2 linked regions of the Neurospora crassa OR74A genome follow. The protein of the gene in region 1 binds, or shares a complex with, the protein of each later gene. Links are inferred from orthologs where the notes say so. Each region holds a gene or a part of one and is shown in the gene's direction. Other genes may lie near its edges.

What was found.
Region 2: the proteins of NCU01643 (region 1) and NCU04191 are in contact, whole or in part, in a cryo-EM structure (PDB 9FMS), measured with the Saccharomyces cerevisiae proteins. The link is inferred for Neurospora crassa OR74A from reciprocal best matches to the Saccharomyces cerevisiae genes RAT1 and RAI1. Residues at the interface, in NP_014691.1 of Saccharomyces cerevisiae: Arg216, Ala217, Asp218, Pro219, Glu220, Thr313, Phe314, Asp315, Arg318, Cys368, Asp369, Phe805, Pro854, Ser855, Lys858, Ser859, Ile860, Ile861, Leu862, Asn863, Ile911, Thr912, Gln913, Tyr914, Lys915, Arg917, Thr918, Gly919, Gly920, Tyr921; in NP_011268.1 of Saccharomyces cerevisiae: Tyr46, Tyr47, Leu48, Pro49, Asp50, Leu53, Asp54, Arg55, Leu181, Gln182, Tyr183, Thr184, Arg186, Ile189, Glu190, Phe226, Asp227, Phe228, Gln247, Val248, Ala249, Asn250, Ile251, Thr254, Phe257, Glu258, Phe280, Lys288, Thr289, Val290.

Annotation. Positions count from the first base shown.
Region 1 is NC_026502.1:2,829,657-2,834,165, forward strand, and holds the start of NCU01643 (5'-3' exoribonuclease 2), read left to right. Parts: upstream 1-1,612; 5' UTR 1,613-2,107; coding exon 2,108-2,417; intron 2,418-2,494; coding exon 2,495-4,509. Other genes in the region: NCU01644 (intracellular protein transporter UsoA), read right to left, coding at 1-757. UniProt on the Saccharomyces cerevisiae protein: Possesses 5'->3' exoribonuclease activity. Required for the processing of nuclear mRNA, rRNA and small nucleolar RNA (snoRNA) precursors.
Region 2 is NC_026505.1:5,152,781-5,156,812, forward strand, and holds NCU04191 (rai-1), read left to right. Parts: upstream 1-1,595; 5' UTR 1,596-1,604; coding exon 1,605-1,772; intron 1,773-1,828; coding exon 1,829-2,071; intron 2,072-2,146; coding exon 2,147-2,206; intron 2,207-2,274; coding exon 2,275-2,282; intron 2,283-2,335; coding exon 2,336-2,430; intron 2,431-2,500; coding exon 2,501-2,671; intron 2,672-2,747; coding exon 2,748-3,047; intron 3,048-3,132; coding exon 3,133-3,326; 3' UTR 3,327-3,407; downstream 3,408-4,032. Other genes in the region: NCU04190 (exocyst complex component Sec8), read right to left, coding at 1-1,112; NCU17026 (hypothetical protein), read left to right, coding at 3,729-4,032. UniProt on the Saccharomyces cerevisiae protein: Decapping enzyme for NAD-capped RNAs: specifically hydrolyzes the nicotinamide adenine dinucleotide (NAD) cap from a subset of RNAs by removing the entire NAD moiety from the 5'-end of an NAD-capped RNA.

The DNA of each region.
Region 1 (4,509 bases):
ATAGGTGCGCAAGCCGTGCGATGAATCCCATTTCCCTGACATTGGACTGATTGGACGCGTTGAGACGAAGCAGGTTCGCCAACAAGATCAAGCAATCCTCCACCACCCTTGCGCCCTCGACGAGACCTCCTTCATTGGTGATAATCTCGAATATGCGCTCGAAGCCCTTTTCGAATGCCACCAGCTTCTGGATATCCACGGACTCGGCAGTGAGGTCGATCAGCAGACTGATGGCCGCATCCCGGACGGCTTCTCGCCTGTCGTCGAGCACGGCAACCAGCCTAGGGATGCCCAGGGGCGCAACGAGGACGCATTCTTCGGTTCTCTCTGTCCGGGCAAAGTGTATGTGGGAGAGCAGCTGAAGTGAGTAGAGGCGCGAGTAAAAGTCGGTCGTGTCGAGCAGATCGAGCAGCAGCGTGATGTTCTCCTGGCGCTGGGTGAACTCGTCGGCGAGCCAGAGCGCAATCTCCTCTGAAGCTTCGGGGCTGTCTTCGTTGGGGCTGAAGAGCATCAGCAGGGTCTCGAGGACGACCTTGACCGTATCGACATCCTCGCCATCCCTGCTCAGACTCCCGATGAGACTTCGTAGAGCGCCAGAGGCTACTGAGGCCGGGTACTGCTTGGAGAAGCTGCGCAGACCGAGGATGGCGGCGCGGCGGTCTTCGAGGAGGGTCGCGGTGTTGAGACGGCCGCTGAGGACGGCAATGGTTTCGCTCACCGACTGCTTGGCCGGCGCCGCCGTAATGGTCGAGAACATGTTCGAGGATAGAGGTAGTGGACTAGTTTGGATGCCATGGAGGGAGGGACTGGAGGATCATGGCGTACGGCGGGGTGCGCGCATGCTCGAGGGTTAAGAGGTGTCGGATCACCACCTCTTGCGTCGTCGGGGTGTCAGTCAGGGGTAGGTACCTGTGTGGTCCCGCTATAGCGAGCGTAGTGGTACTTGCACCTGTAGCTTAGTGTATACCTACCTAGCACTCTGAGGTTCCGTTGGATCTTGGATGTACCCGGACAAAACGATTGGAAAATGGAAGGGCCCGCCTTGTTACAACCACCCGACTCGCTGCACACAAACGAAGCCAGGAAGTAGGTATGTACCTAGTTGCTTCCATGTGGCTAGTAGGTATACAACCAACGGAGGCCAACGGAATGAAACTAGGGGACAGGTGGTCCTTTCATACGAAAAGTCCAGCCCGCGCAACAATTGGCAATCATCAAGGCATGGTAAGTACCTTAGATACCTACACCTCTAGGTAGTAGTATTTATCATTTCATACCTTGGTTAGGGTCGTTTCGGGACTCATGGAAAGTACTATGATAGGTATATAATCGTGCAGTTCCATGTAATGCTATGTATAGGTAGTCTTTCGGATAAGTAAATGTCGGGTGTGTGTACCTCTACGGTTCCTGCGCCTCAATCATACCGTGCTCTGTTAGCCCGCACAACTGTTGATCATAGAGCGTCATGTGATGTTTCGATAAGCCGATAACAGGCTGCTGTGGCGTTGTCATTGGTCTTATCAGTGCTTATCGTCCCTTGCCGCATGGTCTTGGCACTCGTTGAACCCTTGAATTCTTTCGCATGTCAGAGCTCGGCGTTCTGTTCCGGTCTCGTCCTTCTCTCCCCAGTTCATCCCACTGCCACTCCATCACCACTTCTGCAATCGCTCACGTCTTATCCAACGGGCATTGCTGCAAGGACCGCTTTGCTGTGTCAATTTAGCCCGGATTCATTGAATTGGGCTTTCGACAAGGCGTGTCCTCAATCTTGCTGCGCCGTTTCCACAGTGCACTTTGAGGTGAACCTTGGTGGCTCTATCTGCGGTCACCTTGCGCGTGTTGTGCATCAGCATCTTTTGTTGCCCATACATCCGATCCCTTCGACCGACCTTATACCTCAGTCTGCTTCCATCAACATTCCTTTATTCGCTTTCCGTCGGTGCGAATTGAAGAACCCACTACGTTCACTTTCCGAACCACCCATCTCGTTCAGCGACTACCCCCGATCTTTCTCGCGACAACTACCTACTACATTTTATAGCCAACCACATTTTAACTACCGTCCCTACAAGTGCTATTCGTGTGACCACTCGATCGCCTTTGCAAGATGGGTATTCCGGCGGCTTTCAGGTGGCTGTCCACCAAGTATCCCAAGATCATCTCGCCCGTCATCGAGGATCAGCCGATTACTATGCCCGATGGCACCGTCATTCCTGTTGACGCGACCAAGCCAAATCCCAATGGCGAGGAGTTTGACAACCTGTATCTCGACATGAACGGCATCGTCCATCCTTGCTCTCACCCCGAGGACCGCCCCGCGCCCAAGGACGAGGAAGAGATGATGGTCGAGGTTTTCAAGTACACCGATCGCGTCGTCAACATGGTTCGCCCGCGGAAGCTTCTCATGATTGCTGTTGGTGCGTATCTCTCTTTCGCACCATCTCTGTCGCCCTACTTTGATTTAAGAAACGGGACTAACATAATTTCACCACAGACGGCGTTGCCCCCAGAGCCAAAATGAACCAGCAACGGTCCAGACGATTTCGCGCTGCCCGGGAAGCCATGGAAAAGGAGGAAGACAAGCAAAAGTTCGTCGAGCTGCTCAAGAAACAGAACGGCAAGCCCCAAGAGGAAGAACCCGTAGAGGTCGTCGTCAAGAAGGCTTTCGATTCCAACTCCATCACTCCTGGTACGCCCTTCATGGACATCCTGGCTGCCAGTCTCAGGTATTGGTGTTCCTATAAGCTCAATACCGATCCTGCCTGGGCCAACATCAAGGTCATTATCTCTGACGCCACCGTTCCGGGTGAGGGTGAACATAAGATCATGGAATTCGTCCGCTCCCAGCGTGGTTCCCCCAACCATGACCCCAATACTCGGCATGTCATTTACGGACTCGACGCCGACCTTATCATGCTTGGCTTAGCCACGCACGAGCCCCATTTCCGTGTTCTGCGTGAAGACGTCTTTGCCCAAGACAGCAGGCCGAGACTGTGCAAGATTTGCGGTCAAAAGGGACATGACGCCATGAACTGCAAGGGCGAGGCAAAGGAGAAGAATGGCGAGTTCGACGAGAAGGACGCAGTCGTGCCTCTCAAGCCCTTTATCTGGCTCCACGTTTCCATTCTCCGTGAGTACCTTGCCATTGAACTTGACGTTCCTGGCCTTCCCTTCCAGTTCAACTTGGAAAGGGCCATCGACGATTGGGTTTTCATGTGCTTCTTTGTCGGAAACGATTTCTTGCCTCACTTGCCTGCATTGGAGATCAGGGAGAACGGAATTGATACCCTAACGGCCATCTGGAAAGATAACTTGCCCGTAATGGGCGGATATTTGACCAAAGATGGCCATGCGGACCTTGAACGTGTCCAGTACATCATGGCCGGCTTGGCCAAGCAGGAAGATGCCATTTTCAGGAGGAGAAAGGAAACCGAAGACCGACGAGAGGCCGGTTTCAAGAGGCGCAAGCTTGCCGATGAGGCCCGACAAAGGAGAGCCCAAGGCAGTAGGCAAATACGTCAGGCGGCTGAGAATAGTGGTCCGCCAGCTGGATTTTCCTTTCACAAGATTAACGAATTTCCGGGCAAGGCTCCGCAACCATCAATCACTCATGACATGGTGGTGAACCGCCAGGCGGTTGACCAGGCCAATGTTGCCAACAAGAGTGCCGCTAGCGTGCTCAAGGATCAGATCAAGAGCATGATGGCGCAAGGAACGAGCACTCCAGAGAACGGTGCTGAGTCCACTGAGACTCCTGCTGAAACTGCTGCGGCCGCCCCGGCCACCGAAGAGCAAGCTGCTCCCCCAGCAGCCCTGGGTAAAAGGAAGGCTGAGCTTATCGAAGATGCTGTCGCTGGTCCCGAGGCCAGCAGTACCGAGGTGACCGAGATCAGCGAGAGTGATGCTGAGCCTACCGATTCGGTCAGGCTGTGGGAAGAGGGCTATGCGGACCGGTACTATGAGCAGAAGTTCAAGGTTGACCGTAAAGACATTGATTTCCGTCACAAGGTTGGCCGTGCGTATGCCGAAGGTCTTGCGTGGGTTCTGGAGTATTATTTCCAGGGCTGCCCCTCATGGGAGTGGTTCTACCCCTACCATTACGCGCCGTTCGCTGCGGACTTTGTTGATCTTGGCAAGATGGAGATCAAGTTTGAGAAGGGCAGAATTTCGCGGCCATTTGAGCAACTGATGAGCGTCCTTCCGGCCGCGTCTCGTCATGCCATCCCTGAGGTGTTCCACTCCTTAATGTTAGAGGAGACCAGTGAGATCCGCCATTTCTACCCCGATGACTTCGAGATTGATCTCAACGGCAAAAAGATGGCTTGGCAGGGTGTCGCCCTCCTTCCCTTCATCGACATGCCTCGTCTATTGGCTGCCATGGAGACCAAAAGTCATCTCTTGAGCCCAGAAGATCACCTCCGGAATGCACCGGGCAAGGATTATCTACTTCTATCTGATTCTCACCCAACACTGTACGATCACATCACGAGCCAGTTCTACTCCAAGAAG
Region 2 (4,032 bases), on another chromosome or scaffold:
AGCTCGACGGGTAACCTCTGCTTGAGCATGTCGACCGCTGTCTCTAGCCTTCCCAGTCTGTTCAGAGCTTCAACGAGGAGGGTCACATAGTAAAACGTGTCCGCCTCGGGATTCTTTTGGGGATCCTCAGCCACGGACTTTTCCCAGTCAATGGTGTCCAAGATTCCGTGGAAGGGTGCCACGCCTGGGGCGTCTCCATAGGTCTCATGAGAAATTCCCTGGACCTTTGCCAGGTTCTGCCACCTTTCCTGACAGTACGGTGATTTCAGATAGAGATGTTCGTGCAACTCTTCCACCAGGATATCCATGAGGGCGGTCTCCTGATTTGCAAGATAGCTTCGCAGGTCGCTCAGGGCACCAATGTTATCCAGCTCGGGCTTCCTCAGCTTCCGTAGCGCATTCTGCAGGACCTCGACGGCGGTCAGAAAACGCTTCTCGGATATCCTGGCCTCCAACTGGTCTGGAACGGTGCGCAAGTCATCGAGCTCGTTCAGTGTTTGTAGGACGCCATCGTACATGCGTGACGTGGCATGTAGCTGTTTGAGTTCGGGATTGGTGGTGCAGAGTGCCGTCTTGGAGGCTGCCAGCGACTCCTTGAGGGCGCGCACCTTCTTCTGGGAGGACTGTATGCTCCCTTGGATCTTGTGGAATGTACCAATGGAACTGTTGAAGCCTTGGTGGTGGTCGTGGACAATGTTCTTGAGGGACTCTTGGAGGAACTGGTGTGTCTGCTGGAAGTTGCGGTATTCGTGGGCGCGGCCGACGGAGCTGGTGTCGAGAAGCTGTAGAGCCAGCTGGACGGGGATGCAGTCTGTCTCGACCATGGCGGGCCATTCTCTCTTGATCAGATCCAGCACGTTTCCAATCTGGCGCTCGGCATTGGACTGGATCTGCATATCGCCGGCACCCGTGCGGCCACGCTGGGCAGACCGGGGCGGGGGCGCATTTCGGGAGGCCGTCGATGGTCTTGAAGCCGGGTTAGTGCTGGTGCCATAGCGGTCGCTGGGATATCCGTCACCGTAGGGATCGTAGTCGTCGTTACGCCGGCCAAGGTTGCCGAAACCGCTGTTGCCCCGATAGGATTGCGGCTGCTGGCCGTATCGGTCGGCCATGATGGTGGTGTGTGTTTGACTCGGCGTCCGGGTGTCGCGAGGAGGGAGAGCTATCGTGTTGCGCGGTACTTCATTATCGGCATGCCTAAGGTATACAGTATGGAACTACTGCTTGGTGTGCCGGGCCCGTCTACAGTTGGTATGAATTGTAGGTGTTACTGAGTGGACGTTGAGTCGTCGTCACCCAGGACTTGAGTCGTCGGGTGTCAAGGTTAGGTTGGTCAATGATGGTGCTTTAGTTGGTGTTGCTCAAGAAGTCCTCCTCTCTCCACGTTCATGATCCCCTAAAACGGATGTACAGTGCTTGTTTGTTGTTACAGAGGGTCCCGCCGTTGCTACATAGGTACGTAACCCCACTGACAGGGCCTCACGCACGACGGATCACTGCAGGGGCAGCGGCCTCCACGAGACATGAATTACAAGCTCGAGATGCTTCCACCTCAATAAAGGTATCCTGGCTCTTCTCTACATCTATCCTCCTTTCAAGTATTAATGATAACTCGTCAAGTCCTTATACTTGGGCATTGGAATTCCAGATTTAGAGCCTTCATCCACATACACAGCGCCGGACAACCGCTCTTTTCTACCATGACCGCCGCTTTCCCAATCCAGCCTGTAGCACGGTTTGCGGGCAAGAGTGAGCTGGTCAAACGGCCAAAGGTAGAAACAACCTACTAGAGACATCCAAAGACCAGAGAGGCTAACTGTCTGACCAGGAATTTGCATGCTTCTCATACGATGCCGATCACAAGTTCTTACTTGGAGCTCAGTCATTGAAGTGGTATTACACACCAGACCTCAACGTCGACCTGTCCAAGGGCTTCGAGAGCTTCATCAAACATGACGATAGTGTAGACGAACATCTGGACAGCCTACTCACCACCATAGCCGACTATGAGCAAAAGACGTCGAAACCGATCGATGCTCACATCGTAACTTGGAGAGGCATGATGACAAAGGCGAGTCTCCCTTAGACTAGCTGTTTCATGATGTCGTTCGTATATCGGACACTAACATCATATACACCGTGATAGATCATGGCAGCCCCCTTTGATGATGACGACGGGTTTGAGATGAATGCTACCCTTTACAGAGTTCGTCCACACCTGCCGCTTGGCCATCTAACTTGGGAAGCCTTGTCATACTAACATGGCTGTAAAAGGGTTGCATGTAAGCGACCACATGGTTTCCGCCCCCATGCTATTTTGACTGACGGCGACAAGATTTATCGAAGAGAACCATGCATACAAACAAGCATCGAGAGCAAACGAGCGGCCATGGAACGGGCCAATCCCGCAAGAAGTGATGCAGTACTGGGGTAAGCTAACTCACTGTCCACGTCTTTCATATCTGCTGAATTGGTAAGCTGACGTCTCCTGGCTTCCAAGGCTACAAGTTTGAGACTCTGAGCACACTTCCGAAACCATGGGGCCAGACCTCTCGCGATTTCATTGAAAGCCGTCCCGATCATGTCGTGAACAACAAGGAGCAATACTGCTCAGTAGTCCGTACAGGCATTGGCAAGACCATTCTCTGTATCGGTGGTGAGGTTGATGCTAGTTAGTGCTCTTGTCTCCCTACCTATACTAACGCCTCTCGTCAACCCCAACTAATAACTCGTCTTTTCTTACTTAGTATGGGACGACAAACCAAGGACTCAAGGCGATCCAATCAACTGGGTGGAGCTCAAGACGTCGGCAGTAATCCAAAATGAGCGCCAGGCCAATAACTTTGAGCGTAAGCTCATGAAGTTTTGGATCCAGTCCTTTCTCCTAGGCGTCCCCAAGATCATTGTCGGATTCCGGACGCAGGATGGGCTGCTGGTTGAGACCAAAGAGTTCCGCACGATGGAGATACCGCTCATGGTGAAGAAGAATGGGCGGCCAAAATGGGATGGGGATACGTGCGTCAACTTTGCTAACGGCTTCCTCGAGTGTGAGTCTTGTCATTTCCTTTGTCTTCTTGAAGTCCAGCAAAGCGTCTTATGCTTTGGAATCTATGACTAACAGTCTCTTTTCAGGGCTTCGCCATACCATCACCGACGAGGGCGTGTGGAGGATCAAGAGAAGGCCTCGGTCGGCAGAAATCGAAGTGTTCAAAGTCGAGGAGGTGGGCCACGGAGACATCATCACAGATGAGTTCATGAACTGGCGGATCAAGCTCGAGCTTCGTCAGGCACAGCCGCCTACTGAAGACAATGAGACCGAAGAGTAAGCTGAATTGGACGAAGCAGTACACGTCTTCTTATGTGCATCAGTGTCCAATAGAAAGAAGTACATTGGCGTTGGGCAACCCACGGTAGCTTCTCAGCCACCCCCCTCGTTCTTGCCTGCCAGTTCCGACGTCTTCCATCATCCAACCCTACCTGTCTGCACCTTCCGTGTGATAAGGCACGCCGCGAGGCAGCTTTCCATCTAATCTCAACCCACTAAAGACGCGAAGCTCCCCGCTGTCAACTGAACAAATGTTCACCTCCCTGTCAACAACCCAAACCATCAAAATCTCCATGCTTCCATTCACCCACGAATTCATTTCCACCATTCACTCTCTGGGTTATAGATCGCTTGACTCTGTCCAGCAATCGTCCGTCATAACTCGCGGTCCTTTAAAATCATTATGACCCCAATCCACGCCACGCGTCTCGACACTTCTCAAAAAGACATCCGCTTGCTCGAGCTTCTCCCGGCCAACAGTCTTCAAGACCCCATCCAATGCAGACTGTACATAACTCAACTGTCAATGGAAACGGAGTATACGGCCTTATCATACGTCTGGGGAGATCCGAATGTTACCTCTCCCATTGCTGTCAACGGCGTTCCCTTCCATGCAACTCACAACCTTTGCGCTGCTCTAAGACGCATACGATCTAAATCCAACCTCTCCACGACGCTTTGGGTAGATGCGATATGCATCAACCAGT